Lonchura striata: one gene and its partners. The protein of the gene in region 1 purifies or fractionates together with the protein of each later gene. This does not show direct contact. Links are inferred from orthologs where the notes say so. Each region holds a gene or a part of one and is shown in the gene's direction. Other genes may lie near its edges. The genes, in order: SLF2, RAD18, SLF1 and SMC5.

What was found.
Region 2: the proteins of SLF2 (region 1) and RAD18 purify together in Homo sapiens (affinity purification with mass spectrometry; 3 studies listed by BioGRID and IntAct, with this or other methods). This does not show direct contact. The link is inferred for Lonchura striata from reciprocal best matches to the Homo sapiens genes SLF2 and RAD18.
Region 3: the proteins of SLF2 (region 1) and SLF1 purify together in Homo sapiens (co-immunoprecipitation; 3 studies listed by BioGRID and IntAct, with this or other methods). This does not show direct contact. The link is inferred for Lonchura striata from reciprocal best matches to the Homo sapiens genes SLF2 and SLF1.
Region 4: the proteins of SLF2 (region 1) and SMC5 purify together in Homo sapiens (affinity purification with mass spectrometry; 3 studies listed by BioGRID and IntAct, with this or other methods). This does not show direct contact. The link is inferred for Lonchura striata from reciprocal best matches to the Homo sapiens genes SLF2 and SMC5.

What each region holds. Positions count from the first base shown.
Region 1 is NC_134609.1:19,949,835-19,958,185, reverse strand, and holds the start of SLF2 (SMC5-SMC6 complex localization factor protein 2), read left to right. Parts: upstream 1-5,024; 5' UTR 5,025-5,133; coding exon 5,134-5,243; intron 5,244-8,351. UniProt on the Homo sapiens protein: Plays a role in the DNA damage response (DDR) pathway by regulating postreplication repair of UV-damaged DNA and genomic stability maintenance.
Region 2 is NC_134614.1:23,723,809-23,731,876, reverse strand, and holds the start of RAD18 (E3 ubiquitin-protein ligase RAD18), read left to right. Parts: upstream 1-4,680; 5' UTR 4,681-4,725; coding exon 4,726-4,773; intron 4,774-4,883; coding exon 4,884-4,965; intron 4,966-6,900; coding exon 6,901-6,962; intron 6,963-7,868; coding exon 7,869-7,939; intron 7,940-8,068. UniProt on the Homo sapiens protein: E3 ubiquitin-protein ligase involved in postreplication repair of UV-damaged DNA. Postreplication repair functions in gap-filling of a daughter strand on replication of damaged DNA.
Region 3 is NC_134642.1:69,020,300-69,027,929, forward strand, and holds the start of SLF1 (SMC5-SMC6 complex localization factor protein 1), read left to right. Parts: upstream 1-4,544; 5' UTR 4,545-4,862; coding exon 4,863-5,024; intron 5,025-5,176; coding exon 5,177-5,252; intron 5,253-7,483; coding exon 7,484-7,630. UniProt on the Homo sapiens protein: Plays a role in the DNA damage response (DDR) pathway by regulating postreplication repair of UV-damaged DNA and genomic stability maintenance.
Region 4 is NC_134642.1:71,458,666-71,466,113, reverse strand, and holds the start of SMC5 (structural maintenance of chromosomes protein 5), read left to right. Parts: upstream 1-4,381; 5' UTR 4,382-4,467; coding exon 4,468-4,568; intron 4,569-5,809; coding exon 5,810-5,951; intron 5,952-6,867; coding exon 6,868-6,920; intron 6,921-7,448. Other genes in the region: MAMDC2 (MAM domain-containing protein 2), read left to right, coding at 376-460, 758-819. UniProt on the Homo sapiens protein: Core component of the SMC5-SMC6 complex, a complex involved in repair of DNA double-strand breaks by homologous recombination.

The sequences.
Region 1 (8,351 bases):
GCTGTGAGGCTCCCTGGCTTCTAGGTGAATTGGCTGGGCCTGCAGACCTATCTGGTTACTAAATAAAAAGCCCTTTAAAGAAGATTTGCTAGTGTGTGCCACTTTTGATATATAGCCTTCCATTTGTTCACTCACAGACATGGAACTTAGATTAAAAGTAGTAAAAAGTCAGTGTAAGGGGGTTTACTGAGTGATTGCATGTCTAGCTTTTGAAATATAACAGTGTTTCCTCATTTTGGCCAGACATCACACGTCCTGTCTGCTTACCTCTGATGGAGGCTGTGACTCTTATTCCCCTGTCCCAGCAGGCATTTCCCTGTTAATTATTCTGAAAGCTGAGCAGTTCCTAGCTTCATCAGAACTCTGTGAAAGAATGATAATATTTAAGGCTGATTCAGGAATCCCCTCAATCTTTGCAAAAGAAATATCTTTAAAAGAGCTTGGTCACAGCATAACATGTAAGTAGAAGAAGATGAGAAAGGTCTGGCAACTTGGTTAGCTAACTGAACCTACCAACTAAAATTTTTGTTGCTTGTTAAGCAGATAGCAACACGGTCATGTTGTGGAGAAAAGGCCAGAGAAACAGTGATAAGCTGCTGCAGGAAAGTCCTTTTCATTGCCTGCTAGCAGTGGATTGTCCCTCATATTTTCTTTCTGTTTTTTGACCTTTGTGTCAAGAATGATTAATCTTTACAGAAACAATCAGCAATTAACAGGAAATTAAACCAGAGACAGCCTCCATGGAAAGGGAGCATCAAGGATAGGAATTAGCTTTAGTGAATGTTAACATCATGGATGTCTGCTGAAGAAGCCACAGGTGAAGGCCATTTCCATTTTTAATTTGCTTAAGCTATAAACCAGACTTTTTATCGTAGTCATGACAAAGGAATTTTGTGTGTGTGGTTACATGGCAATTGCCAATGAAACTTTAAGCATTGAGAGACCCGGAACTGACAACTTTAAAGTACTTAAATAAATAAAAGGTAGGGAACAGAATAGATGGAATTTAACTGACCAAGACTGATTTGAAGTTTTCCATGAAAATGGTTGTGGGAATGGGCATGTGTGTCAGGAGAATAGTTAGTGTTAGTTAAAGTGAGCAAACTATGTACTGATTAGTAAATGTTTATTAATGTAGTAGAATTATTATGTGCAGACAGATATTTTCTACACACTGTGTCCCCTTGACATATCAGTGCAGTGCTGCCAGCTTTTTGTCCAGTCAAAAAAGGGAACTGGTGTGTTAGCTGAGTTCCGCATTGCAATTCCCTGGGTGAAGCAAGCTCTGAAAACCACAAATACTTCACAACCTTGAGATACAAACCCTCTCCACTGATTAAACTGTTATTGCAGTTGAAAGTAGTACCATAAATATTCTCTCCAGATGTTTGCCTAAGAAGTCTTGCTGCATGTGCTGCATGTCAAGGTATCAGTGTCTGCTTGGTAAAGGAGGTGTAAATTGGTTCTTGCAAGGCACAGCAGGGAGTATCTGATCTGATAACATCTGGGAATTAGTGAAAAAGGGAGAGACTCTCCAGAAAGATGGAAGGAAAGGAAACCAGGAATGCCAGGAAAGAAGTGTCTGTATCTCAAGTATGCTGTAATTTGTGCTGTGCCTAAACCACACAGCAAATTGGTGATGAAGGGAACAAAGCAGCTGAGGCAACCCCAGCCAGGAAGCTGAGTGTGGAAGTGCCTGGAAGAGTACATCACCCTGATGAGTTTACACAGGCCTGGCTCAGACATGTTCATGTAAGGTGCTGCCATGCTTCTGGCTGTGTGCTCAGGTGTATGATTCAGTCAGAGGAAACCAGCCTAAATCGAAAGAAAACATTAGTCTGGTTCCAAAATAAGTGTTTTTCTACTTAAAACCCCCCAACCTGCATAGTGGTCAGCAGTCTCCTTTACATGTGCAGCACAAAGAATAATGGCTGCCTATATCAGAGCACTTCCACATGAGAATGGGCTTTATCCCTTCCAGCAGTTCCACAGCATTTTTAGTATCTGTGTTCTCCCAGGAAAAACAATGAAAATCTTTAAACATTTCCTTTCTGAGCATTGACCCTGAAGCCAGTGGCACATCAGTGTGTATCTGAGAAAACCACTGTGATAGGTTTTTCCTTCCCTCCTGGGCAACAATGAGTGATGGCATGTGTGTGACTATTGATAGAATAACTGAATTTACTGTCTGGATAATGATCTGCTATTATTAAATTGACTATAACAACTTAAAAAAAGGTATGCTAATAAATATTGGTTGATCTGTTTCCATACGGACTAGGTCCTGTACTGGGGAAAAACCAATTTACATCACTTAATCTCAAGGGGGGAGCTTATGACAATTACCAGTCTTTGCTCTTAATTGTCACTCCCTGTGGTTCATTAGCAAAATCTTCTTTTTTCAGCCTCACTGCTTGTGTTTGCTTTTATTCTTGTACTTAGAGTTACAGGAGAGTTTCACAGTCTTCTGCCACTTCGGAACTCCATCCTTACTTCCCATGATAAACAGCTTCACCCTACCATCACCAGTGCTGGAATTGGATGTTCTGCCAAAGCTGCTCTGTATCCAACTCCCTGGTTGTCTTTTAGAAACTCTTTATGACTCCAGGTGACTTAACTGTAGAAATGCCCCCATGTCTATTGCCATTTTCCACAGTTAAAGTATTAAACTTGAAAGACAAAGCAAATGTTTATAGGACTTCAATTTCATCTGCTCTTTCAATGTGTTATAAAAATATTTCTGGAATTCCTGGATAACATTGGGCATGAAACTTTAACACTTTATTAATGGTACTTCATATATACACTACTGTTTTTTCAAACAAATCTATATGACAACAAGTCAAACTGTTCTTCATTTGTTACTCAAGAATTTACACCCAGCAAAAAGATGGATTTATTGTAGTGTTGTGCATAGTGGGTCTAGAAGTGTGTTGTCAAACAGTAGGATTCACTCCAGAAAACATGATAGTCATAGGTGGTCCCTGGGGCAGAGAGCGTGCAGCTGAGGGCAGGATTTGTGTCGGAGGGGCTCAAGCAAGGAAGAAGGTGTGTGTTGTGATATCAGCCAGTGTTTTAAGCTTTTGAGGCTGAGTTTAAGAGATCAGGAATTGCATGGCTCAAAGCCTTTGAAAAACAGACTGAGGGATGGGCATGATGAAAGGGGTGGGGGGTAGGGTGCATAGCACAGGGCAGACTCAGATATTCAGGTGCTCAAGAAACATTTTCTTATTTTGTCCTGTGTTGTATTGTGTTGTTCAAGTTATTCAGTTTCTTTAGATGGTTTGATCCTGTACCCCCAAACAAATGATTCTGTCCTCCCTTACCTCCTCCCATTCAAATGTCAGTCTTGTTCCTCTTCCACCCCCAGCCCTCATCCTGGGGCCTGCTTGTCACTCCACAGTCCTTCCCCTCCATCCGGAAAGTTCCACGAGCCCCTCGAGTGATGGGCTGGGCACTGGGCCCCCTCCCCTGCAGTCCCCCCATTGGTGCCCACTCCTGCCCATTTTTCCTGCCCCACTCCCATCTACCTCTCCATTAGTCTGTGGGAACACCATGCCCCTGTTCCTCCCGTTTAAACGTTGCTGCACAGCTCTGTTCGGGGCTCTAGTTGGCTCTTCTCTGCTGGATTGTTTGAGCTTTTCAGTAAACCTGGACTGTGAACCCCAGCGAGAGTCAGGTCCTTCGTTCTGTCTTCATGGCCAAGGTTCTCTGGTGCTCTAGGGCTGAACCCAAAGCTGCCCTCCTCACCCCGCTGGGGCACAGGAAGGTGGCCCCTGCTGTCTGCAGTGCCAGCGAGTGTCCTGCTACTTCTGCTTTGAGCCTTTCCCAGGCCAGCCTAACGTAGTGGGTGAGAAGAGACGTGGGGTGGGTCACTCCTTTTCATTTGAGTCGGCTGTCTCCTGGTGAAAAACATCAGGAGAACAGTGGCTTTGGTCATCTCCACTCTTAGGCAAAGTGCTAAACAAAAACCCCAATACATAACTATAAGGGATATCTTCTATCTGTGCAATACCTACTTTGAACTGCTAAAGCAACTTTTTGATATTGCTAGTTTTTACAGACTAAATATGTGAATTTACACAGAATATTACAGATAGGAGTACTGGCATTCTCTAAGCAGGCAGGTCTGGTTCTTCAGGTTGCTTAGTCCAAGATTTTGTCCAAAATGTTTGTCAGGTGGTGGTGCAGGACACGGGATTCCACTCGAGATGCCTTTTCTGGGGGAAGTCCAGGCACAGAGAGAATCTTGCATAGCAGGCTGAGGATGGGCAGGCACAGGGTTTAGTGGCGATTTGGAAAAAGTTACTCCCCAGTAACTTTTTTCAGCCTCCCCACATTGTCTTGTGGCTCTGGAGATGGATGCGCAGCCTGGATCTTCTTCCAGAGGCGATGCAAGCCGCACAGCCCGGAGCTAGGTGGCGGCCCGTGGCGCTTTGCTCGCGGGACGCTTCTGCCCGTGGACGGGACCCGCGGGCGTGGCTGTCGGGACGGGCCCCGCGGGCTGTCGCTGTCCCCACCCGTGGACGGGCCCCGCGGGCTGTCGCTGTCGCTGTCCCCGCCCATGGACGGGCCCCGCGGGCTGTGGCTGTGGCTGTTCCCACCCGTGGACGGGCCCCACGGGCTGTGGCTGTCCCCGCCCGTGGACGGGCCCCGCGGGCTGTCGCTGTCCCCGCCCGTGGACGGGCCCCGCGGGCTGTCGCTGTCGCTGTCCCCGCCCGCGACACCGGGAGCGCCGGGGGCGGGGCCCGTCCGAGCGCACCAATCAGAGAGCGGCAGCGCGGGCCGGGGAGCGGCGCGCGAGCGAGGCGCCAAACAACCCTTCCTCCCTCGGACGCGGAACGCCGCTCCCGCCCTGCGCTCCCCAGCAGCCAATCACAGACACGATCACGCTGCCCGCTCCGCCCCCGGCGGGAAGGAACCAATGGGAGACGCAGCTGCTTTAGCCTCTCAGCCAATCAGCGCCTGGAGGCATTGGAAAAAAGGAAGAGCGGAGCCCGTTAGCTCCCGCCCGTGCCCCGAGGCCGCGCTGGGCGTTCCGGCCGCGCTGGGCGTTCGAGCCGCGCTCCGGGCGATGCTGCCAGGGGCGGCCGCTCCCCTCCGCCGCTCGGGCCCCGCTGTGCCGCCCGTGCCATGACCCGACCGCTCGGCGAGGGGCTGCCGTCTCCGGGCCCTCCCTTCGCCATGTCCCGCCGCCATGTTACGCCGGCGGCCGCGGGCGGCGAGGCGGCCCAGGACTGCAGGTACGGGCGGGGCGCGGGAGAGCGGCGGTCGCGGCCGTCGCCGGGCCCCGAGCCCGCCGAGCGGGACGGCTCCGCTGCCGGCGGGCGCCGCGCTGCCCAGGGCGGGCGGCAGGGCTCGGCTCGGCGGGCGTTACCGGGAGCATCGCCGGGAGGTTCCATGCTCCTCACGGAACCGGCGCCTGGTGCCGCTGGGCGTTGGCCGGCGGGTCTGGCAGCGTCCCGAGTCTGAAGGAGCGTCCGGCTAAGTTTGGCCGGCATTTCCAGCGCGCCCTTCAGAATCCCGGGGTCGTCCCGCGTGTGCCGCCCCTGCCCCGGCGTTTCCCAGCCCGCCCGTAGAGCCGGGCGGCGTCGGCGGTTCGGCTCTAACCGGGAGCTGCGGGTGTCGGTTCAGCCCCCGAACCCGCTCCGGCGGGACTGCGCCTAACGGTGCTGGCACTGCCCAGGGAAAACACTGCTGTCAGCGACGCTGCCTTTAGACCTGACAAACTTGCCTGCCAACTAGAAATTCAGATTTTGACAACGATTTGAGGCTTCTCAGAGGCTGCTGTTTTTTGCCCAATGAGACAAGTCATAATTTTCTTAGGCTATTAGTTGCACCTTACTTTGTTCAGATCCTTGGTTTTGATGGCACTGTCATTTAAATGAAGGGGACAGGGTGAAAGTTTACTTTTTCAGTCTTACTTTTTGCCCAAGAAACTCAAACGAACCGGCAGTTTCGGTTTTGTTGCAGGTGTCTAAAAGGCTGAGGTTTTCTATGTGAGTTTCTGTTTTGGCTGGTTTTATTATGATTTTTTTTTTCTTTTTACAGAGCTTTTCAAGATGCTCTATGTCATCAAATGTAGTAGCTTATTCCTATGTTATGGGAATTTGCTATCTCTTAGCTATTCCTAGTGTTTCCAATACAGCTTTTTAAAAGCATAGTTTTTATCCAGCCAGGGATTACCACGAATGTGGCTGTAAACAATAATTGCTTTTACCAAATGCTCAGGGGGTTGTTTTTTTAAGACAAGTGAAAGTATTTCCTCCTTCCTTCCTTCCATGCAGGCTTAGTTTAGGGGCGTAGTTAGTGTTCTTAGTTTTGGAAGGCCTGGAAGGTCTGTTAGGTTCATCTCCTTGCTGTGCAGCTTTTTTCTTTGGTCGGGTGAGATAATGTATTTATGGGCATTATGTTTTCTTTTGGATTTTTAGTGGGCTCCTTGGTGTCTCAGTCGAGCTGAGATTTCACAAAATATGGTGTGATAATTTTTATTTGAGATAAAAGGTCTTGCTGAATGTAAAATATATTGCTGAAAAGTGTTAACCAGAGCTGTATAGTGGTTCAGAAAGATACATTAAACAACTGTGATTTTTGTGTTAGCAAAAGATTGAAGCACAGTAACCTACTAAAGTGTGGAGATTCTCCTGGGAATGGTTTGTGAACAGTTATGGCCCCATTCACATAGAAAATCACATTTCTCCTACTTTCACATGTATGTGAAAAGCAAGTTGGATGGGCCAGTTCTTTTCCATGATCTTCCTTGTACTGTATTGAATTCTTTATTTTTTTCTTTTCCTCACCCTTTGCTTTTGTCTGAAGTTTCTGGTACACTTCCTTGTCTGAGACACAATACAGAACCTTGGCTGGACAGTTCCTAGCCCTTGCACTCCAAAAAGCAGAGTTACAAATGCAAAGGAGAAAATATTGGTGGATAAGCCTTTCCAAAGAAGCCCAGCTCTTCATTAAAATTAAACTTGAGGAAGAAGAGAAGTGCCTTCATTCCCTGTTGTTTTGTAGAAGGCTTTGTATAATTATGGAATAAACAGAAATTTTGTTACAAAGCTGGATTTTTAATAAAAGACAGCAAAAAGAACATTATGGCAAGGACATAAGCAGTCATTTGGAAGCAGTGGCTGTGGAAACAAGGACAGAGATGACAGAAGGCCTTGGTTTTGGTTTTGTTACGAGCTGTCCATGAAGGTCAGAGTAACTGAGGTTCTTGTTAATGGGTCCCTTGGGGCAGATTAGAGAGAAAGAACATTGATATGCACACATAGGGTTTATTTTGGGATAATTTGGTTGCAATGGAAATGAGGTATGTAGCCATTTTGGTTATTATCTCTAGTAATTTGACAATATAAAAGTATAAAAATACCACTTAAGGAAATATATAAGGAAAAGAAAGAAAAAGCAAGGATAGGAGCAGATTACAGAGATATGACCAGCATGGATCCAGTGATGAGACTTGATTGTAGCGATTCTGATGTCTGCTGGTCAAAGTGATGCTTGCAGTCAGGGATGTAGGAAGCCCCCAAAATACAGAGTTCAGTGGGTTAATGGATGTTCTGGTGGGAATGCCCAGGTACCTCCCTTGGAGAGGGTGGATGTAACACTGTCTGTTGAAAGGCCCCAGGAATTAGTCTAGTGGCACTTCGGGGGGGTCTTTGATGGTTTATGACCCCATCTTAGACTGGTGTTTTGGTGTATCTCACATCATGTTTTCTCACATTATGCCTTGTCAGAAGGGATAAATACCTTCAGTCTAAGTGTGAATATCCCAGTACCTCCCCCTGGGTGGGGGGTGTTGTTTTACACCTGAGCCAGTTGTGTAAGGGAGGACACTGGCATGATGAAAAGCATTTTCCCACCTCTGCAGTGGCTGTGCCTTACCAGCCTTGTCGCTTATCTGGCTCAAGCCCCAGCTTGTTTTGTTGTGGTCATCCTCCTGTGGTGGGTGTGCACCCTCTCCTGGTCTTAGGCAGATCAGAGATTTCAACAGCACACACAGAAACCCCCTCCTTCTCCCCTTCCAGGGGGGATGCAGACCTGGGCCGCAGCAATATTGCTTGTTTGAGTCAATGACCTTTAACATTTCTGTCCCTCGAGATGTAGGTGCAGAGAGGAATTTGGGTGGTGGCTGAAGATGAGATGTGGCCTGCCAGCAGTGCTTCATGTACAGATGGGGCTTTAATGGGGAAGAAAGAAGTACAGTCGCTTAGTTAGGAAAATAGGAAGGGTTTGGAAGGATACAGTGTGGAAAGCTCTAGGCACCTGATGATTTCACAGCTTGAGAGCAGTGCAAGCAAGCACCGGGTGTGTCCTGAGGAATGCGAGGTGGAGAGGGCTTTGCT
Region 2 (8,068 bases), on another chromosome or scaffold:
CTGGAGAAGTGTTTGTCAGATGTCAGCTCCCCTGGCCCTGCCCAGGGATAGCTCATCAGCCTGGGAGGGACAGTGCTGGCACCAGCCAGTGCTGCTGAGGGTTTGGTGCATTCTGAGCTTGATTTCAATTTTAGTATTTTTCTTGGAATGTTTTTGCCCCCTGCTCCAGCACAGTGTCCCCGTGTCCCTGGAGTGGAGCCCTTCCTTGGCTGGCCAGTGCTGGTGTGGTGGTGTCTGAGTGCTCCTGGTGCCCCCAGCTGTCCCCACCCTGCTGCCTCTGGCTGCAGCAGCCCTGCAGCAGCCCTGCAGCAGCACTCAGCAGCCAGGGCTGAGCGATCCCACTCCCTGGGGAGGCTGTGCTGCATCCCACACCTGAGCTGGCTGCAGGCACAGAATGAGGATATTTACCCAACTTCTGAAAACTTTATTATTTCCCCTTAAAACCCACCTACAGCCTCACTATAGAAACACTGGAAACCGGGCTTTAGCAGGCCTGAGAGACTGCAGCATTACCCATCTTCTGTAAATACTGTGGAGCAGTTGGAAACCTTTGTATGATCCCAGCTCAGCTGGAAAACAGCACCACATTCCTGCTGCCCTTTGGGATCATTTCCCCTTCTTGTTGGGTGGGAGGCAGCAGCTGTTGAAACAGTTTGGTTTAAGTGTTTCATGAGATAAAAGTGTAATTTGCTGGATTTTAAATATCTCATGCATCAGATCAGCATAAGTACTGCAGGTAAACCAGCCTTGCTCTGCTCCACAGAGAAGCCTCTTCCCTCCCCAGGAGCCTTCCAGAAGCTTGGGCTTGGAGTCTCTGATGGTGCAAAATCCGTGGAGGTTTGTGTGCTGGAAATGAAGCTTCAGCTCAGGAGCAAAGCTCATCCCAGGCTTTAAATCTAATAACAGCCTCCTGACAGCCTCCGAAGGCCAGGCACCCTCGGACAGCTCCGAATCCCACCCGAGCCCCGTCAGCACGAGACTCATGCACGTGTGTCTGGTTGTGCCTAACGAAGACAAATCTCTTCATTAAGGGGCTCAGCTGCCGGGCAGCCGGAGGTTTGGTGACGGGAGCCTGGCTGGAGCTCTGCAGCGAGGGACGGGCTGGGCAGGCTCTGCAGCCCGGCCCGAGCCTGGGCTCCCTGTGGGCCAGGAAGGGCTGTCAGCAGCGCTCAGCCCAAACCTTCCATCCCACTCAAAGGCAGCGAGCTGCTTTCCCTCCTGGAGGAGTCTCAGCCGACAAGAAATCCTGTCCTTGGCTGCGTTACCCACCGCTGCCTGCTGCTGCTGAGCACTGATGAAGCTTCTCTTGGATTTCTGTCTCCAAACTGTTGCTGCATCCATTTTTTTTACCCCTTTCAAGACAGCCTTTATAAAAATAATATATTTAGCAATGACTGGCGAGTGCTGAAGCTGGCAGAGCTGTACCATAGAGCAGGGCAGTGCTGAGCTTGTGAGGCCGTGGCAATGTCCGAGGGTGAGGAGGCTCTCAGAAGGCTCTAGGGTGAGATGCAGCCTTTTTCTTAAAAGAAAGAAAAAATCTAGTCTTATGTAAGACAAAACATCTGCTAGTGCATGAGTAATGCCTTCCCTCCTCCCTGGTGTGGCAACCGAAGTCCATGGGAATTGTGTGAACGATTGTTTCCTGTAAGAAGTTATACACTGTTCACAGGTTTTTGGGGACAAGCCCTGTGTGCAGCCACGCCTTCCCTTTTGCTGCTTGCTCGTGGCTTTGGATCCTGCTGCTCCTGGCCCCGCTGATCCTGCCCGTCCCAAGGCTCCCACCTCCTCATGTCCCAGCAGGACTCCTGTGGCTGCCAGTCTGCCCAGTGCCACCCACCAGGGAATGGGGCTAATTCACGTCTGTGCTGAATTTCTATTGATATGGCTTGAATTTTGGTGTCGTTTCCCTGCCTGGAGCTCAGTTCTGGACACTCTGGGTCAGTGTCCCTGGCCAGAGCAGGAGGAGCTGCTGGGTCCAGCACAGGTGAGTGCTCCTGCCAGATGGATGGGTGCAGGTGTCTCTCAGCTTCCAAACGCTGCACCAGCCATGCTCTGGGCTTCTGCTTTCCATGGTCTGGGACATTAATTGCTGCCAGAATTACTAATGAGCTTCAGCTTTTAGCCTGAGTGCTGCAGGCTGCTCCTCCAAGGTGGAGATCATGGAGTCAATTAAGTAATTACCTGGTGTTTCAGCTGCCAGCACCCGAGAGGTTTTGTTTTTCACCACTGGCATCAATCCCAACACACATCTCACCCAGACTCATCAGCAGTGGTTTGTGCACTACTGGAGCAAGCTGGAGCTGCCTTTTCTGCATGTGTTCTGGTGACAAATGGCTCCGTCTCCCTCTGTTTAGTCTCATTCTGGCACATAAATCCAGGCGTAAGCAGGCTAAGCTGAGCAGAAGCCAAAACTGCCTCTTCAAAATTCTCTTGTTGCGAGTGTTTTACCTCAGTGATGTGATGAGCAGCAGCTCACCAATGGAAAGCAGAGCGGGCTGAGCTGGAGGTGACAGACAGTGGCACAAGGAGCAGCCAGACTCTGCTGAGGCCCCACGGGCCAGGGAAATGCATCTCCAGTGGCTCCTGGCACTCATCAGCCTCGTGGCAAGGCAGTGCTGGGGCGTTCTGTGCACAGGGACGGGGCTGGTGGGAGGGATCCCTGCCCTCGGGCACCTCTGGGCACAAGCTCCAGCGGCACAAATGCAAAATCCATGGCACAGCATGCACGCCTTGTTGGTGAAAGCTGTGCTCTTAATTAAATCAGGGTTGGGAAGTGCTGAGGGACCAGAGCCCCACGAGGAGCTCTCAGGCCTCTCCTGCAATTCCCAGTAATTTACAGGGAATAGAAATGAGCCTTCATAGGAGCAGGGCATGTCTTGTCTTACCCTGCAGAGAGATGGAGTGGAGGGAGGTCTGCTACCCTTGCATTGCAAGGGCTGAGAACTGCTTCATGTTCAGGAACAGGGGAAGGCAGCAATGAAGTGGCAAATACAGCAGCAGAACAACCCAAACAGTTTTTAGCAAAGGAATGAAGCCCCAGCAATGGGCATTTTGGTGGCAAATCAGCAGCCATATGGCACAACAGACTGACAACAATTTGTATCCAAACTCTGCTCCCAACATCCCTTTCCTAGTCCCACGTCCCTTTCCTAGCTGAAAAAGGCAAAATCTGTGCAGGACAGCTGGAATGTCAACTAAGAAGCACTTCTGTTAATGCATTGACTCTCTTGCCTTTGGATTTCACCCAATTTACCCTTTTTTCTGCATGGGAATGCAAATGGTTGTTTCCTATTTGTCAGCCCCTGCCTGTGACGTCCATCACAGGTCTCTGGTGGGGTACTGCAGTTACACACACAGAGTATCTGCACAGGGAATCACTGCTGGAAACTAGGCACTGGAAAGTCATCTCCCACTGAGAAGGAAGGCTCTTAGCCTTTCCTGGGGCTGGCATGCTGTTTCTGGGCTCTTGCTGGTACTCGTTCTCAAAATGCTCAGGAACCACATGTTAATTTAATTCAGGTTGTTTGTTTTGGTTTGGTTTGAGGGTTTTTTGGGGGACTTTTTCTGCCTTGGTTTATTTTGAATGGTGGGGAAGGGAATTGCACCCAGGCTAAGAACCAAACAGCCAAAGAGTGACTCTAGGGCACAAAGCTGGCAATGCAATGCACTGCTGGGAGACAACCAGAGAGAATGGAAGGTATTACAGACCTATCACCGTGTCTAGGTGTGCATGGATTGTCCGTGTGGGAGTTTTTATACTGGAGTAGTTTAACGCTAGTGAGATTACTCATGATTTTCCCAGCGTTTACTGGACCAGCATCAGTGTCCAAATGGGAGATACCTGCACGTGCAAAACAATGTCTCTGAAACATCACCCAGTGTCGCTCGTTGCTGTTGGCCGAAGGCAGCAAAGGCCAATTCAGCGCTGGCTCCTTCTCTGGCTGCCAGTGTCCGTGTCCCAGGTCAGGCTCTGCCCGTTCCCCTGCAGCCTCCGCTGCCCAGGGCTCTGCTCCCTTCCATTTCCATTGCCGTTCCCGGCACGTCTATCCCCGTCCCCGTTCCCGGCGGCTCCATTCCTGCTCCCATCCACGCTCCCATCCCGTTCCCCGTTTCTCACCCTTTCCATTCCCGCTCCTGTCCCCGCTCCCGTTCCCCGTTCTCACCAGTTCCATCCCCGCTCCCGGCGGTTCCCGTTCCCCATCCCCGTCCCCGTTCCGTATCTCCCGCTGCCGCAGTTCCCGCAGTTCCCGCAGTTCCCGTTCCCCATCCCTGTTCCCCATTCCCGTTCCCCATCCCCGTTCCCGCCCCGTTCCGTATCTCCCGCTGCCGCAGTTCCCGTTCCCCGTTCCGGTTCCCCATCCCCGTTCCCGTTCCCTATCTCCAGCTGCCGCAGTTCCCGCAGTTCCCGTTCCCCATCCCCATCCCCGTTCCCGTTCCGTATCCCCCGCCGCCGCAGCTGCGCGGGCGGAAGCGCGGGCGGAAGCGCGGGCGGAAGCGCGGGCGGAAGCCGGCGGGAAGCGCGGGCGGAAGCGCGGCCGGAAGCCGGCGGGAAGCGCGGGCGGAAGCCGGCGGGGAGCGCGGGCGGAAGCCGGCGGGGAGCGCGGGCGGAAGCGCGGGCGGAAGCGCGGCCGGAAGCCGGCGGGGAGCGCGGGCGGAAGTGCGGGCGGAAGCCGGCGGGGAGCGCGGGCGGAAGCGCGGCCGCGGCGGGAGCGACCGAGCCCGGCCATGCCGCTGCTGGAGCCGCCGTGGCCGCCCGGCCTGGCCCCGCTGAAGGTGCGTGCGGGCCGGGTCCCGGGGTTGTCCCGGGGTTGTCCCGGGCCGGGTCCCGGGGCGGGCGGTGCCCCGGCCCGGCCCTGCCCGCCGCTCACCCGCTCTCCTTGCAGGCCGTGGATGACTTGCTGCGCTGCGGGATTTGCTTCGACTACTTCAGCATCGCCGTGATCATCCCGCAGTGCTCGCACAGCTGTGAGTGCCGCGGGAGGGCGGCGGGGCCGTGTCCCGCCGGACGGGAGGACAGCGGGGAAGTTCGGCCCGGCCGGTCCCGGGCGGGGATGTTCGGCCCGGCACGCAGAAGGCTCCGGAGCCTGCAGGAGAGATGGCCAGGAACGATTTACCAGGGCCTGGCATGGCTTCCCACGGTTCGGTGGGAGATGCAGAAGAAGCTTCCCCGGGAGGGCGGTGGTGCCCTGCGCAGGGTGCCCAGAGCAGCTGGGGCCGCCCCATCCTTGGCAGTGCCCGAGGCCAGATTGGGTGGGGTTTGCCGCACCCTGGGACAGTGGAAAATGTCTTGCCCATGGCAGGGGGTGCAACTGGCTGGGCTTCAGGGTCCCTTCCCACCCAAACCGTTCTAGGGTGCCTCGATTCTCTTTGCCGTGGAAGCTGGGAGGAGCTTGGCAAGATGGAAGCAGCCAGAGCCCTCCCTGCTGTAGTTCCTGCTGTAACACAAGCATGTGGCATCTGGCATTCTTACTGTAAATATCTTTCTTAACATCTTGAGGGTGGTACAAATGCAAAGCTCTATGTGCTGAGCATTAAGACCTCAAATTTTCCATGCTGTTCTGTCTGCCCTGCAAGATACCGACTGGAACCTGACCCCAAGTGCTTTGTTGAAGCCAGATTAGGAGGGAAGTACCTTGCCTTTTCCCACGTTAAAATAAATGCTTGTGATTGTTAGGTTCAGAAACTGTAGCACTTCCTTCCCTGAAGGGGGCCGTTGTCATTTGGCAGTGAAGTTTAGTTTAGCTTGGCAGAGCTGTCACCACTGAAGCCAGAGTGGGGAGCCACAGAACTGGGAATTCTCTTCACTGGCGGCTGGTGCAGCCATGGCTCTGAGCAGCAATCTTTGCACGTGGGCCATGGGAGGCTGCTGGGGTGTTGGATGCTGGCAGCCTGGGTCTGCCACTTCATTCCTATTCCTACAGTTAAAGTTTGTTTCTTAATGGCTTTCTCACCCTATACCACTTCTTGCTACGTGTCTAGTAATTTTTGAGCATTTAAATGGATATGTGGTTTTAAGTGTTAATTGGTGCTTTAGAACAGGTTGGATTTGGCTTGGACAGCCTGGTCTAGTGGAAGATGCCCTGCCCATGGCAGGGGCAGGGGGTGGGATGAAATGAGCTTTAAGGTCCCTCCCAACCCAAACCATTCTGGGATTAATTAATGCTTCTGCTGCTTTTCTGATGCATTCTCAGAGGGCCTATGAAATATAGATCTTTTTCAGGAACTAGTGCTGAAACTCTGACCTATGATGATCTAGTGAGGGAATTTTGTCCTGGAGAATGATGAGATTTTTTTAAATCCTTAAGTGGCTGTGAAAGCTATGGGATAAATTGACAAAGTGTAACAAACACAGAAATGTACTGTGACAGTGTGTTTCACCGCCCAGCCTGTCGAGGCATCCTGTGATGGTGAGGTGACATTAAGCTGTCTCTCAGCATTTCAGTGCTGTCTGCCCTCCTTTCCAGCCTCTTCTCTCGACAGCAAGTTGGTATTGTTTTGGAAAGGGGCAGAAGAGCCTGGGGGAAAGGAGATTGTAAGTTTGTCTGGGGCTGTGCAGGCAGATGAAAGTGATCAGCATTAGTCATGTCAAAAACCCAGTTTTTGTGGGGGAGTGAGCAGTGCAGCCACTGCTGTAGTGGTGGGGGCTGAGGAAGGCTTTCTTGCACTGGGGAACAAAAGGAAGCAAACATCAGCTTTCGGTGGAGGAGCTGATATTTGAAATGTGCTTGAATAAAATGCAGGTTCTTTTCCAACAATGATAATTCCATGTGAAAATGGTGTGTTTTCAATATTTGTGTGTTGTGGAGTAGCTTGTGTGTGTTGTACAACAAGGAAATACACAAGCAAGGATGTGGATGTGCACTTGGAATAATGCTCACAACGATGTGTTCCCTTTTCCAGATTGTTCCCTTTGTATCCGCAAGTCTTTGTCCTACAAAACGCAGTGTCCAACGTGCTGTGTGGTAAGTGTGGTTTTCCCCCTCAGTTTATTTTTAATCTTTTGGCAAATCTTAGGAGCTTTTGCCTTTGGACTGTGCCAAGTAATCAATTCTGATTGCATGGGCAAAGTGTGGTGCTCTTGCATCTGGAATTGTTCTGTTCCAGAGGTACTCCTTTGTCAGTGCAGGCAGAAGGGGATGGAGAATCAGGCCTGAGGTTTGGTCAGGACTGTGTACAATCTGTCACAAAACATTTAACATTAATTTGTTAAAATACTCCATGATTTAAACCAGCAGTGCTGAAACGTAAGCGCTTCATTTTCTGTGTGTGAGTGGCCCCATTTAATCTCAAAGTAAAAATAGAATAAAAAAGTAATAAAAGCTTTTTTAAAAATAAGAGCAGAGAGAGTTGCAGCGTGGTAAAAATCAGAAATTGTTTAAAAAGAATGAACTGAATGCACAGAGGCAACTCATAATTCATATTTTCATGCCATAATCAGAAGATTAACATCTCCCTTCATCAGTTTTCATGCTTTGTTGCTTAAGGTTCTTACCACCTTCAGAAGATGGTTTGGTTTGGTTTCCAAAATTATTAGACCTGTGCTGCAACAAACCATTACTGGAGCCTGGGCACACTGGGCTTTGTTGCTTTAGCTTTATGCTTTGTTTTCGCCTGTTACCTTAATATCCCAGACTTAAGTTCTCAGGCAGTTACTTTAATATGAGATATTTTTGGGGAAGAAGTGTTTACACTTTAAGCATCTTAATTCCTGTAGCACTTTAGTGGGGGTAGTTGAGGCACCAAGCCAAGAAGCAAGTTATTGATCACTTGAACATTTTCTGGGCACTTGCTGTTTTCACTGCATTTAAATGTTTGTTTGTTTGGATTTGTTTTGGTTTTTTTTTTCTTTTTCTTTATTTCTTTTATAGGCAGTCTCGGAATCTGACCTGAAAAACAACCGGATTTTAGATGATCTAGTGAAGAGCTTTAATTCTGCAAGGTCTGTCTGCAATTTTATGGCTGCTCTCTCTGGCTTGGCAGCTGGCAAGGTGTGGCTGTGTGTGCCCCCAGGCTCAGAGCCCTGCAGAGGAGGGTGTGAGAACTGAGCAGAACAATTGTGGTGTCAAAG
Region 3 (7,630 bases), on another chromosome or scaffold:
ATGTGGTAGGAAAGTTAAATATTAAATGCAAAATAAATGCATTTCATACCTATATTTTAAAAGAAAGAAACAAGCAAAACCTTAGTCCAAGTCATGAGAGACTGAAATTATGCTAAAACAATACAGTTCACTAATTCATTACTGAGTTTACTGAGTGAACGAATACACATAAACTCACATACAGAAGAGTTACAGAACAAGCTGTCAAACACTATTCTGTGCTCTGTGTTTGTCCATCAACATTGTTTCACTGACATACATTCAGAAAGTGAGCTGGCAGAAGAAAGGCAGATGAATGAAAGGAGATGAGAAAATAGGGTGAGCTTATAATAGCTATAAAAATAAATGTTCTTTGGAATAAAAATGGTTACATGAAAGAAACACAAAAGATACGTCCTGAGAAGAACATGAAAATGTTTTTAAAAGTAAGCATTTAGTTATGATAACAGGGAGTTTATATAATCAGTATAGCTTGAAGAAAAGCAGGAACTTTCACAATGCTTGTTCTGCCTTTTCTGTATTCATTAGCTCATGAGAGAAACTACAGGTATGTTTATAGAAAGATGATTACTATTAAGAAGCTCCTGTACCTTCTGTGGATTTATATTTATTATTTCTAATCCTGGTAATCCCTTATTACTACAGAAGAATATTTAAATTCCTTTGATTTCAAGAAGCCAGAGACAGTGTTTCATACTGAAGAAAAAATGGACTTTAAGAGGCAGAAAGTTAGATTTTTATCCACACGAAGGCAGTATGGAGACACTTCATACTGCTTTAGATTTTATGACTGGTTTTTCAGTGTAGTTTCATGATTTTTTTTTTTTTTTGTAAAGCTGTGATTATGAAATGCTTGCCTATTGCACTGCGAGTTTCATTTAAAAAGTATAAATATTATGTTTAGACAGAAGGAAAAAACTCCAATGAATAGTTTTCCTTAATCAGTCAACTGATAATCTTGATTGCATGATGGCAAGTATTTTAAGCACATACTACAAAATAGATTCCAGTAATAAAAAAATCTGTCAGATTATACTTCACAATGGAAAGATGCATTTGCATGGACTTTTTCACTCTCAAAATGTGCAAGTAATTACATAAGGAATTCACACATAGGAAGTCAAAAGCCTTATGAGGGACAAATAGTACAAATGATCAAACAACAAAAAAGAAACCCTAACTTGCAGAGTTAAGGACAAAGTGGCAGAGGCTTTGAGAAACAGACTGAGATTTACAGACAAGGATGAACAGTGATAACACAGAAAGCAGCAGTACCAATAAGGCCTGAAGAAAGATAACTGTGTGAAGTAAAATAGCTATTACTGGGAAACGTAAGAAGTGACATTTCAAGGCAGAAGACGTGGTTGTAATAGAAATATGCATAGAAGATAAAGGAAATAAAAAGTATAAGGTAGAAGGCCAGAACAATGTATGAAATGAAAACTCTTTTTTCTTCTCTCTAGGTAACAAATTTAATAAAAGAGTTATGAAAGAGATGGACACCTGATACACTGTAAATAAAATCTTTCTGTGATAGGAGAAAAGGAATATTTATTTTCCTTATCTTGGCTTCTTAATGAACTGGACATAAGAGCTGTACAGCCATTCTTGATCATCCTTAAAATGTAATTAGAAGTTTTACAAGTCAAATACCATGTGTGTAGTATGGAAAATCACTTCCTAAATTTTATTGAACATGTCACAGGTACAGTAGAAGAAAATATGTAAAAGTAGATACTATCTAAAAAGATATCTCAGAGCCAAACTGTTAAAACACAATTTATAATACTGAGAAACTGAATTGTATATTTGACAAATACATTTAAAGGAAACCAGAGGGACTTAAAAATACATCAGTTAAAAAGCCTGCTCACTATGAGGCCTATGAGACATAAGAGACACTTAGCTACCATAATGAGATCACAACAAGGATGGAAAGGAAGAAAATATTTCAGACTTTTAATGAACAAATAATAGAATCAGGGGTTGGTGAATTCTGAACTTAGTAGTCGTCACTGAAATAATGGTTAAAAAACGTAATTTCTTAAAGCTACATTTTGGCAACAATGTATTTCAAAGAAAAACTACATGTGAAATGTTTGAGATCATTTACTTTGATTCTACACTATTTTATGTGCCAGAGACACAGGAAAATAAAATTAACTCTTAAAGGTAAGAAATGGTCATCAAATAAGTATGAATGATTGAATCAAGAATATCCTGAGTTAGAAAGGACCACAAGCATCATCAAAGTAAAACTCCTGGGCCTGCACATGACACCCCAAGAGTCACACCATGTGCCCGAGAGCGTTATCCAAACACTTGTTGAATTCTGGCAGACCTGGGGCTGTGACCACTTCCCTCGGAAGCCTGTTCCAGTGCACAAGCATTCTCTGGTTGAAGAACCTGAATCTAACCTAAATCTCCCCTGACAGAGCTTCACAGCTTTGTTCACTAGGAGTTAGTTTACAGTATCATATGCTGAAGACTTCTCCAGCCTGTTAAGAGTCCTGTGAGGTAAAACTGCTGTTAGTTATCAGTTATGTAATGAATAAAAATTGAATAAAATGAGTAAAAATTTACAAGAATTAAAATCAAGACCTTTACAGTCCTGAGAAATCAATAGTAAAAGTATAAAGATGCAACAGGTACAAAATAGAAAATGCATGCAACCAATAACTGAAGTCTGAATATTAACTATAAATATTTAAGATTTTTTTTCATTGTCATTTTTGCAAAAAGAGTAGTGACAATGATTGTTGATGGTTACATATTTATATACAAAAAAATAACAGCAATGTTAAGGAAACAAGAGAAAAAAGGAAAAGCCTCAGTAAGCATTAAGGGTACCAGAATACTTCTTAAACAGCAAGACAAGAGTAATCTGTGGCCCGGCAGAACACTTCTTCTGTTTTGATATTCTGAGAAACTCAGATTCAAACCATGTGTCCAACCTGCTGTCAAACTTTATATGTCTGCACCTATGTGGTTTTGTTTTTTGAGGGATACCTGTTTTACAGCAGTGGTGAGCTCAAAGCATTGCTTCTATTGATCTAAGCTGCAGTGACAAAAACTCAGCACTTGTGAATTTTGTTGTGCATATCTCAATTTACAGGTCTTAAATATGAAAGAGTGTCTGAAATACCTCAATGAGTACAGGGTGACTTGACCACAATTCAGTTCTCTAAAGAGGTATTTCAACCATCTTTTTTAAATATTTTTTTTGTATGCATGCATTCTACTCTGAAACTATAGAAAAACGCAAAAGTGTTCTACAGAGCTACTTCTTTTTTCCAGGAAGCATCAACCGATTTCTTGTGCAGTATCTGTTCAGTGCATTACATGACAGAGAAATAGCCAAAAGTCATCTCTCAAGCACAGAAGGGACCAAAATAAAGAGTGGGACGCCAGAAAAAGTTTCATGAACAGCAACTGAGGTACAAGATGAATATTATTTTGATCTCTTCATATTGCTTTGTAACCGAAAAAAAAATCAAGCCTTGACTATCGTAACAAAAACGTTGTACCAACTTGATCAGAGTGGCAGGAATGCCTTCCCTTCATCAACAGGGCAGAAAGCCCTTCCCAAAAATATGCGGCTTGATTATCTGGCTGTAGCACTACCTTGTCACTTGCCCTACGAGGGCCATGCATTATATGGCTTTGAAACTTTGAAAAGTTTTTCCGAGATGCTGAGAAAATGGTTCTGAGGGTCCGAAATCCCTGGTCCCTTTTCCCGATTCTTACAGCCAGCCTGTTCCAGAGATTCCTGTTCCACTTGGGCTCGCATATAGACCGACGCAACCCCTGCTAGACCGCCTTCCACAGTTTTAGTTCCGCCGAGCGGCAGACGCGGCGATTTCCAGGTTCCGGAGGGCGCCAGCGCGTTTCGCCGCCCGCCTCCAGCCTGCCCCCGCCCCCGGCCCCGCCGGGCTCCCTCCGCCCCGTCCGACGCAGCACCGCCCCTTCGCGCTCCAGCAGCACACGGGCCCGGACCGCCGCACACGGACTCGGCGCCGCCTTCCCGCTGCAGCTGGCAGCGCCCGCCAGCGCCTCGGACCCCCGGGAGCTCGGGCACTGCGCAGCGCTTCGCACGGCAGAGAAGGCGGCCGGGGGGATCGCCGCTGCTCCGCGGGCCGCCGCAGCGGATTCCAGCCCGGCCCCGCTCGGCGCCAGAGCCCGGCCGAACGGTGAGCTGAGCGGAGGGGCAGCCCCAGCGGGGCCACTTACCCGGCCGGGATCCCCCCGCGGCTCCGCGCCGGCGGCCCCGGCGACCGTGGAGCGTCAGTGACAACGTCCCGGAACGGCCGCTCCGCCACATCCGGGGGCGGGGCGGGGCGAGGCGGGAACTCGCCGTGCCGCGGCGCCTGGCGGACGGCGGGCCGGAGCGAGCCGAGCCGAGCCGAGCCGGGCCGAGCCGGCGATAGCGCAGCCCCGCTCCCGCGGTCTCCGAACGTGAGCGCTGGGGGCTCCCGCCGCAGCCAGGGGCCCTCGCTCGGCACCCCCTGTCCGGGGGCGCCGGCAGCCCGCCGCTCTCGGTGGCGTGTCCCTGCGACGGGGCCGGCGGGGACCCTTCCCCCGCGGGGCGAGGGGAGCCTGCCCGCGCTGCCGGCAGCGGAGCAGGGCTTCGAGGGACTGAACCACCGCGCATTTGCGTGCAGAGAGAGCCCCGATGCCAGGCCGGGGGGGCTCGGCCCGCTACGCGTTGCACTTTGGGAGTCTCGGGCTACTCCGTTATCGCCTTTTAGGTGTCTTTGTTGTGAGAGCTTAAAATGTGGTGTACGAGTATTCATTCCTTTTGGTGTGTTTTCCTGTTGGAAAAGAAGTAGCAAATACTAGTCGGGCCTTGCAAGCAACTTCCCATGGTGTGTACTTTGTGTGTTAATGTTTCCTTTTCATTCTTTCAGCAGATGGCAAGTTGCAGCCAGAAGAGGATAATACAAATCACTGGATTTAAAAATCAAGAGAAGAAGGCACTACTCAAATGCCTGTTCAAGCTGAACTGTGTTTTTGTAGAGAGTAAGGTATTGTTCATTACAGTACAGCAAAGAGAATTAGAGCTGGAAGTAAAATGCAAGTCTTAGAAGGAAGGACTGTGCAATAGGTTAGTTATGTATAAATAGACAAAGAATTTAAATGTTTCCAGTGATACAAGTGTGTTGTTTTGTTTTGTTAGAAATACAGAAATTGTACACATCTTGTAGCAAAAAAGCTGTGCAAGAGTGAAAAAGTCTTAGCTGCCTGCGCTGCTGGTGAGTAAAAGATTTGCTGTTTAATTTCATAGCATCACAGCATAAGCCTGGAAAGGCTCCTTAAAAGGGTTTTAGTTATCTGTTTTCATTTTGTGATTGAACTGTGTTACAAAGCTTCATTCTTCTTGTTCCATTAACCTTGATTTTTAACACAGTATTATGTTGAAGTTATGATGAAGTCCTCTTTTTTGTTTTGATTTTTTTCCACTAAGTGATATTCCTGCTATTTCCCTTTGTTGGATCTGCATCTGTTCCCAAACTGAACACTTTGTTATACATTAGATAATGAAGTCATGTTCAAATTATTTGGATGCTTAAGAAAGGGCAGAGGGAGTATGAACACCTGTAGTCAGCATGGATTTTTGATGACAAATTCACATTAAACATTCGCTGGTAAAGGTCACTGTAAGTTTCTGTTTATGCAGCAAGAGAAAATTCCAGGCTGTTGCCATTCTGACACAAGCTTCTGGTCTTTCCTCTTTAACTAGGGTCTGATGGTGAAATCCCATACATTAGCAACTAAAATGCTTTCAGAATTAAAATCCTGTATTTTAAGACTTGTTTATAGACTGATGATATGTCAGAATTCTCTGATGCAGTTTGAGTATCTTGTAGTTATAAGACACCACAATACCATTTTTAAGCATGATACTTATTTTCCCTATATCATATTACTCTAAAGTGTTAAAGCAGTTGTTAGGATGGATAATCTTAGAGATGATAGACAAATTACTAAACATACATTTGGGTTTAAATCTATATGTAAATTCCTTGATTTCCATATATATATAATATATGTATGTATGTACCTATGTATTTTTCTTTGTACTAAAAATAAAATTATAATTACAATCTTACCAAAAATGAAATAGACCAAAAGTTTCCAAGAGGGGAAAAAATATTAAAATGCATCTAGGTTTCTGGCACAGCACTTCATTTTAGCAATTTTAAACCCTTGAGTTAATGTTTTCTGACTATTTGGAGTCTAAAATTTGAAGATGTTCTTTTAACAGAGTGGAAATGGTGCATGTAGTGTCCTCATGGTGATACAAAACTCTGTCATGCTTCGATACATGCAAATCTTCCGCAATACCATCTAACCTCTTCTTAATCCCGAGGTGCTGATTTTGCATAGTCATTGCTCTTACTCATCATGGCAGAGACAGTGTATTCATTCCTACTTTGTTGTTTTCCAGGTAGTTAAGAAAGAGCATGTTTAAACACATTTAGAACTCCACAGAGTTCATCAGAAATACTATCAAGGATTCCACTTGTCATGTACTTCCTAGCTGACAAGTTTTGGGATGGAAACTTCATGTGAAAGTGGGTTAACATCCAGGTCATGCACAGCATATCTTTTCCAGTCATAAATCGACTGGTACCTGTGCTAGGTATTGTAGAAGTGCCATCTGTGCTCCTGCACTGAGACATTTTGTCAGTCAACCCTGCTGTTCTGTGAAACCAATTAGGTTCACACAATTCAAGTCAATTTCTCTTACAGTGTCTTCTGTAGGAAGTATTTCAATACAGGAGCAGGGTACTAACCACTGCTCTTGACCTGAACCTGTAAGAAGAGAGAGAGACAGGGAAGATCATTACATACTATATCAAAAGCATAGATGTGGAAGATGAAAGAGGAGAGGTGGAGGAGGTGGAGCCAAAGGATGAGAGAAAAGGATGTGAAAAGAAGAAAGGGGAAAGAAAAAAGTCTAAAACTGTGCCCCCCAAATATTGATATTCACTACATTAGCAGTGCAAGTAATACTAAGAATATATAAGAGAAAGAGCTTACATGTTAAATGTCTAGTTCTTCTTTAAAACCATAGGTGGGAAAATATTTCTTCATTTTAGTACATTTGCAGAAGTGTCAAATGGTATTAAAAATAAAGGACTTACCAATGTTCTGTGGAACTCCTAAGAACAAAATCTGGGAGGTTGAAAACATGTATTTGATATTTTTGAGGACATAGACAAGTATTTTATCTAGGAAGGGTAAAAAGGTACTTAATCATTAAAAGAAAACAAAGCGATCATTTTCAGTGGCATTGTGAAATTTTTGATTGTGAAGTGGAAGACTCTTGTAATAGGAAGAAGTTTTTTAAATGGTACTTATAATTTCATCTTTTATTTGCACAAGAAAGGTTTAAGTTAATTTTATATTAGTTCTTCAGTTGATTGCCATTTGTCTCCACAAAAAATCTTTTGTGGTTGACAGTTCATTTTCTTTTTAGGGAAGTGGGTACTAACTAAGGAGTACATAATTAATAGTGCTGAAAGTGGCAGATGGCTTGATGAAACAACGTACGAATGGGGATATGAAATTGAAAGAGACACCCATTATTCACCTCAAATGCAATCTGCACCTAAAAGATGGCGTG
Region 4 (7,448 bases), on another chromosome or scaffold:
ATACTTAAATGCTATTTCAAAGTATTTAAATTTAAACAACATCATTTTTTGTCAGTAGTTGTAGGACTTTTTCAGGATCATTTGTGCAATTTCTTTTCCTTCAGTTGTCTGTAGCCCTGTCCAGATTTGACACAAGCACTGAGCTGTGATGAAATGGCAGCTTCTTGTAGGTAGTCTTTCCAAGGGAGCAGCAAGGAGAAGGGATGATGCAAAGGCAGAGGTCTGTCCAATGAGAAGGGAAAATGAAAAGGAAGGGGAAAAGGAGAGGGGAAAGGAGGGCAGGGGAAGGGGTAAACCTTGAAAAGGTTGCATGGTTATTATTTTTTTCAGTCCTTCCACCATTTGGATTCAGAAAATTTGTGCCTTACTTTACAGATTATTTTTGAGGCAATCCGTGGTGTGTCAGTAAGAAGTGACACTGCTATTGATGATATTCTGTTCCAGGCAGGACCTTGTTTGGGTAAGTTTCAAGATACTTTGTTAGAAACACCTGAAATTCAGTGCTTGTTTGTGGGTGGGTGATATTTCCCTTGAGTCTCCATTTAAATTTAATATCAAGCAGAGGTTAGTGCTTTTACTATCTAATAGGGTGTGAGATCATCCTCAGAATCTCAACTAGTAAAGTGGCTGTAAACTTTTTAAAAACCACAGATAGTCCCATTTAAATCCAGTGTGCTAATTAAATTCTGCTGTAAGTATTATTAAGTATGACAAAAATAAAAATAATTACAGAATTTCTTCATTCTTTGTATTCCAGAAGTGGAAGAAATTCAGTTCTCATCAGGCTATCCTGACATCTTAAACGAAATTGAGTATTAAATACATTCTGCTGAAAGGAATGAAGCACATTGAAGAATTGTATGTGAGAAACTGCATGAACTGCCTGTCTTAAAATATGATTTAAGTAAATACTGGACTGGTTTGAATACACACCGATACATAGGAAGAACTTGGAGCACTAATGCTCCTTGCCTTTTCAATGAAATTATTGACTCAGGGCTTCTTAGACCATAAGTTTTTGATATTATTTCCTCTTTTGCATGAGGTATCAGTTATTACATAAAGGCTTCCCATTTTGCACAGATCATTAATTTTTAATTTTAACATTTTAACATTTCTGGTATGTAAGTAAAAAGAGGAAATTCAAGTTGCACAATTGAAGTCCAGTGATATGTTATCTTAAATCTGCATTCAGTGAATGTTTTGTGTTGGGGATAGAATGGATTTTTGTTAAGAAAATGATAAATGTTTTGAAATAACGAAGAAAATAGTGTTAGCTACTAGTATTATCCCACAGGTTAAGTACAATTATTCTCAATGACAAATCTCTCTGGGAAACTTAATACTCTGCTGGCAATTTTTTGTGACAGTGTATTTTACTATAACAAATATATTTGTCAATAACAAACTCACTTCTAGTGTTCAGTATAATTCAGCATAAGATGCTGGCCTGTGGAATTATAGGAAATTAAACACTTTAAAGCCATATGTTTTCTGTCATGAGAGTCTGGTTGTTTGTTTTTTTATTAAATAAGTTTGTACACTCACAGAGAATGCACTTACACTTTGCCCAACAACAGATGTCCTGCATTTATATTCACATCTTGTATTTTTTCAGGTTTTATGTATTTGTGTGTAAGGTTGATTTTTTTTTTTAACTTACTATAACTTCCTAATAAAATTTAAGTTTGAGTATCATCTTATTCCTCTGCTCTAGATTTGAAACTGATTAGTGTAAAGAGAAAGAACAGAACCAAATTAAGTAGCCTGAATTAATTTTGAACATGAAGAGAATTAAATGAGTGGATCACATCACCTAAGAAGGCCAACAAAAAGTAATCTGAACTGCTGCAGGAAGCTTATGTACTGTTACAGCAACCATATCCTGCTCCTTTCAGAACTAAGAATATGTTTTTCCTAACAGCATATAAGGATCAACAGCACCTAGGATGATCTAGGTCCTTGCATCTTACATACCTTTTCATTTTTGTGACAGAAACAATTTAAGAGATTGTTCAATGCAGTACATTCAATACTCATGTATTTATTTAACCACACAGATTGAAGCCATTTTCTGTTTCCTGGACACTGAGGAAAAGCCAAAAGGAATTGATATCTTATCTGCATATTCTAGATACCTACCTAGTCAGGTGCTTATGAACACATTACTTTACTATTATTCAAAAATGAAAGCAAACGGAAATAATGGACTGTTTCCTATACGTCAGCACAATTTTACAGTTGTTCTGAAAAGTGCATGTTTCGGTATCAATACTCAGCTCAAATTATCTAAGCAGAAAACAAGTGAAGATGAAGCACTTAATCAGGCTTGGTTGTCCTCTGTATGTAAATGAAATGAAGCATGAAGTACAACTGTTAGGCTCCTATCTCTAGATATTTATGCAACTCTGCCACACTCCATCAAAGTAATCAGATTTAGGATGATAAAATAAAAACCTAAATGAAGGATTCTAACCTGCTGTCCACTGAGTGATTTCTAGGGACCTCACTGCTACAGTGATTTTATCAGTATCACTGAAGGAAATACTTATCCACAAGGTGTGAGGCATTGCCCTGATGGGGGGGAGAGGCAAAAAAAAAGGTGGGGGGAAAGCTTACCAAAACACCAAACCAAAAAATCACCTAAATTCTTACTTAAGTAGGGAACATTGCCTTTCCAATCATTTTTGCAGCAGGAACTAAAGTACAGAGAGAAAATTTGAAAGATGGCTTTCATTTACTTCAGTGTCTGATGAACATCAATTTATAGAATACAAAATTCAGAGATTAGTGAAAGAATGGCTACAAAACATTTGAAAACTGGGTATGGTACATTTAAGATGTCTCCACTGGCAAACTTCAGTTTTATGGTATAAAAAAATATTCTATCAGCTCTGTCCAAATGGGAAACTCCTCATGCAATTAATTTCTGTCCTGGTTCCATATTTATTTACTATGCTGCAGTAGCTGTACCAGGACCACACTGGGGCAAAGAATAGTTCTTCTGAGACTCGCCATAGCAGTCCTGTTTAATGTCTGAAAATTTCTTCAAAAGCTAGTGAAGACTTTACAAGTAATTGTTTTGATCCCAGTTGTGTCAAAATCTGTAAAATGGAAATGAAAAAACCTTGAAAAACAGCTATAATGTCCCAAGCGATAATGGGCTTATATTTAATTGCTGTAAGTGTAGCTTTGTGCTGGAGTGGAACTCAGCTTGTCCTGAGATGAGTGGAGACCCCTTTTATTGTCTTCCTGTTCAATACTGTCCTTACGTTTAATCTTGGATTTTATTCTTTAAATATTGTCCCATTAGTTTTCATTTTATCATTATCCTTACTAATTCCAAAAAGAGGGGCAAATTCAGATCTCATTTACACCAACAGAAATCCAGAATAACAGCTATTATAAAATGTCACTGTTATGCTGCCTTTATAAAGTAAATAAAGAGGTATTCTATGGTGTCGCACCAAAATAAACCTAATATAAACTTGACTTCACAATCATGAGGTTTCATAAGACAGCTGAAGCCAAGTACTAAAAACCTGGCATTTTGTCCACCTGGATGTGAGCAGAGCTTGCCAGTGTGCCTGCCCTCTCAGGAGACCCACCACTCCAAAGCAACAGCTGTGTAAGGGCAAAGCCTGGCGAGAGCACGCTTTCCTTGCAGTGTGACAGACACACTGAGGGCTGTTCTACCTCTCATGTTTTGAAAAAGAGAAAGCCTGCCTCTCATCCCACCTCAAAGAAAAGGCAAGCTGTCTGTGGTCCTCAGTCTGGGCCACCCGGGAATTCTCCTGAGGCCTCAGCCCGGATTCATGGCTCCTGGGCTCACTCTTGTAGCCTGCATCATGGAATCACAGAATTGTTAGGGTTGGAATTGTGATCAATTCCAACCCACACTGCCAAGGCAGAGTCGCCTACAGCAAGTGACACAGGAATGAGTCTAGGTGGGGTTTGAATGCCTCCAGAGAGGGAGACTCCACAACCTCCAGGGTAAGGCTGTCACAGTGCTCTGCCACCCTCCGTGTAAAGAGGTTCTTGTCGTGTTGAGGAAAGCTCTTGAGCTTTACTTTATGGCCACTGCTCCTCATCCTGTCTCAGGACACCACTGAAAAGAGTCTAGCAACCCTCTCTTGGCAACCGCCTTTGAGGCAGTTGTATGCATCAATGAGACTCTCTCCCGGTTTTCTCCGAACTAAACACGCCCAGCCACCGGTGATGCCGCAAACGTAGGCAGGGAGCGTGGCGGTGAGCGGAGCGCCCGAGCAGCGGCACGCGGCGCTCGGCACCCGCCGCGGCCCGGCAACAGCGCCCGGCCCGCCCGCCCCGCAGCCAATGGGCGCCGGCGCGGCGCGCCCCGGCCAATGAGGAGCGGCTTTAGGACGGCTCAGTTCCGCCTTCGGGCAGCCGGCCGAGCGCTCGGCGCGGGCTCGGCCCCGCGGGGAGCGAGGGTGGCCGGGGGGGAGCATGGCGACTGCGCGGGAAAAGGGCAAGGTTGTGAAGCGTGGCGGGTCCAAGCCCACCTTCGTACTGGGTTCCATCGTCAGGATCTTCATGAAGAACTTTCTGTGAGTGAGCGGGAGGCATTTCTCCCGCTTTCAGCGGCCGCGGCCTGCTCCTTCCGCTCCGCCGTAGAGGGGCGGAAGCAGCGGAGCGGGATGGCGGGTACCGAGGGCTGGAGGAGGGAGCGCAGGAAGCGGCGTTCCTTGGGAGATGGGGTCTTGCTGGAAGGCCTGCAGTCTGGGTTACGAGCCCCAGGGGCTGTCAGCGCAGTGTCGTTTACCTGGTGCCGGCCGGCCTTCCCCAGAGGTGGTGGCGGCTGTCGGCCGTGCAGCCTCCGCGTGCTCTTTGTCTCTGGGGTGCGTGGCTGCCAGGCAGCGGAGAAAGGCAGACTTCAGAAGGTGCTCGTGGAACAGTGGGGATAGGCCTTGAGACCCGTTAGGATGAAGTGTTTGTGGTCCTGGCACATGTTTTTTTTAGCTGCTCTATACTGCGAATACCATTATTTTTGGACGTATTTGGACCAGTAGAAGTTACCGGACCATTTTCTTACGGCTCCATTCGAGCCTTGAAAATCTACAGTATTGTAGTGAATGAGTCACGTGTTAGATGTTAATTGAATCCTCAGAGAGAGTTAAATCCTCATTAAGGGTTCATATACCTTCTCTTCCACAAGTACATGGTTTATAATATTGTGTTCCCATTAACTGCTTTGTACTCCTCCTTTGGTGGGAACGTTTCAGCTCTCTGTGTTTGGCACAGTGCAGGAATAAGAACATCAAATTATTCTTTATAAATTTAGGGTGTTAATTTTATACGAATTTGCATGGGTAGGTTTGGTCTCTTCCCATAGTTACTGTTGCCGTAGGCATTCTGGATGCACATGATGAAAGATGTCTAATGCAGTTAGAAAAAAACGAGCACTAGGGATGAGCTGATGCGGTAACTCTAGAAAGCTACTGCATGATCAGCTTTCTTTTTTTGATGCATGAAATAAAATGATACCCTAGTATCATACCATAGTAAGTTCATTTATAAAGTTATCATCATATTGCTGGATTTTATTCTTCATAGTCACTGATTTTAAAGAAAGTGAGTACTCTGGCTGATGGGAATGTATTTCATGGTGTTTCACTGAAATGTTAGTTTTCACTCTTGAGACTTTCTTACAAAAGGGTATTTCGCAATTGAGTCTAAATGAGGAATTGTATCTCCTTAATAAAATAATGAAATGTTTCTAAGCTAGTTCATTTTTCTTTTTCAAGGTAATGTAATGTTTTAAAATTCAAAAACTTGCTGTGCTTTTCAGAACATACAATCTCTGTGAAGTACATCCAGGGCCCAACCTGAACCTGATTGTAGGTGGTAATGGCACAGGCAAGTCAAGCATTGTTTGTGCTATCTGCCTGGGACTGGCTGGAAAACCTTCTTTCCTAGGGCGAGCTGATAAGGTAATTATGAGCTTTTCTGATTTTCATAGTTAATCTGAATTTCATTCAGAGTGCTGTCAAGCAGAGGATAGGGGGAAGGGCTCTCTTCCTTGATTTGCTTTACTTTTATAAAAAGTAAGGCATCTGACTTGAAGAGTAACCTGGTCCAGAGACAAAGGAGGGTTATTTTAATTAACTACTTGCTGTCTTGTCTAAATTTTGAAATGCTACCTAAATTGTAGTGCAGTCTGAGTCGACTAGAGGTTTTATTTGAAGATGGCTAAGCATCCACAGTGGAGTAGAAAAATGCCATAAAAAAAAGGCATAGTGGCACTGATCTTGGAAATAGAATTTGGATTTTCACTTTTTACTGCCAAGATATGCATTGACACTGTAGAAGGAAGTTTTATATCTTGAAATTTTCAAACTTTTGCACTTGCTTTCTTGGGTAGTCTTGTTGGATGCAATTTCTCTGAGTAGATTTGGAGCAATGAATCTGGGTGCCTAAATGGTTACACATACTCTCTTGTAGCTGCTCAGTCATAAGCAAATGTGAATATGGGAATTGATTGCATGGCAGTATTGTGTTTTGGCATTTCTCTTTGCTTCTCATGATGTATTTTCATACTATAAGAACGGCAGTTCTAGTATAGGTACTTGGCAGAGTCTTGTCCTTGTTCCCCGAATTCACAAGAGCTTCTTCCTATCTGTGGATCTGCTGATTATAATTTATTCAGTTTTGGAGGCTGAAGTTAATCAGAAATTGTTAACTTGTGGAGGATAGTGTCTTCCTTTATTTTTAGTTAGTGCTTTATTTTGCTTTTAATTGTAAGTTTTCAATAAAATACCTTGTTAAGTAGCTCCATTATACAAATGTGTATTCTTGTAAGACAGTAAATTTTATTTTGCAATAACAACTTGTAAATTAATTTTGTAGGTCAGTCTGTTTGTGAAGCAGGGGTGCCTGAAAGGCATAGTGGAAATTGAACTGTAAGTAGTAAAACTGTTTCCTCATGCGCTTTTAATTGGATCATTTCCCCCCACAGCCATTCACAAACTTGTGAGAAAAAAATTTGTTGTGCAGAGGTCGGTCTTTAAGCTTAGTTTGTCCTTTTTTAATTCCTGCAGTCTTCAGAATGTAAAGTTATATAATTATCACACAAGAAATAAGCAGTGATGGCTACTGTTGATCTTGCTTTCTGAAGAAAAGTGAAAATAAAGTTTCACCTTGTCTTGATGTACAAAAAAATGCATAGAAAAAGATAATTCTATATGGTGTGTTTAGCTTTTGATTACATTTAAGGTTCTGATGATTTAGTCACTACTGCCGTCACTACGTGGTGGCGGGAATTCTTTTCATTGAAGTAAAAATTACAGAAGTCTTTTAAGTTTTAAAATGGATCAATCTGCCTTCACTTACTTATACTGATACTGTTGGAAGGAGGAGCTTGCCTACATTCTCAAAACATCACATACGGATAGAAAAGAAGTAAAATAAAAGATCTGACTAATTTGACG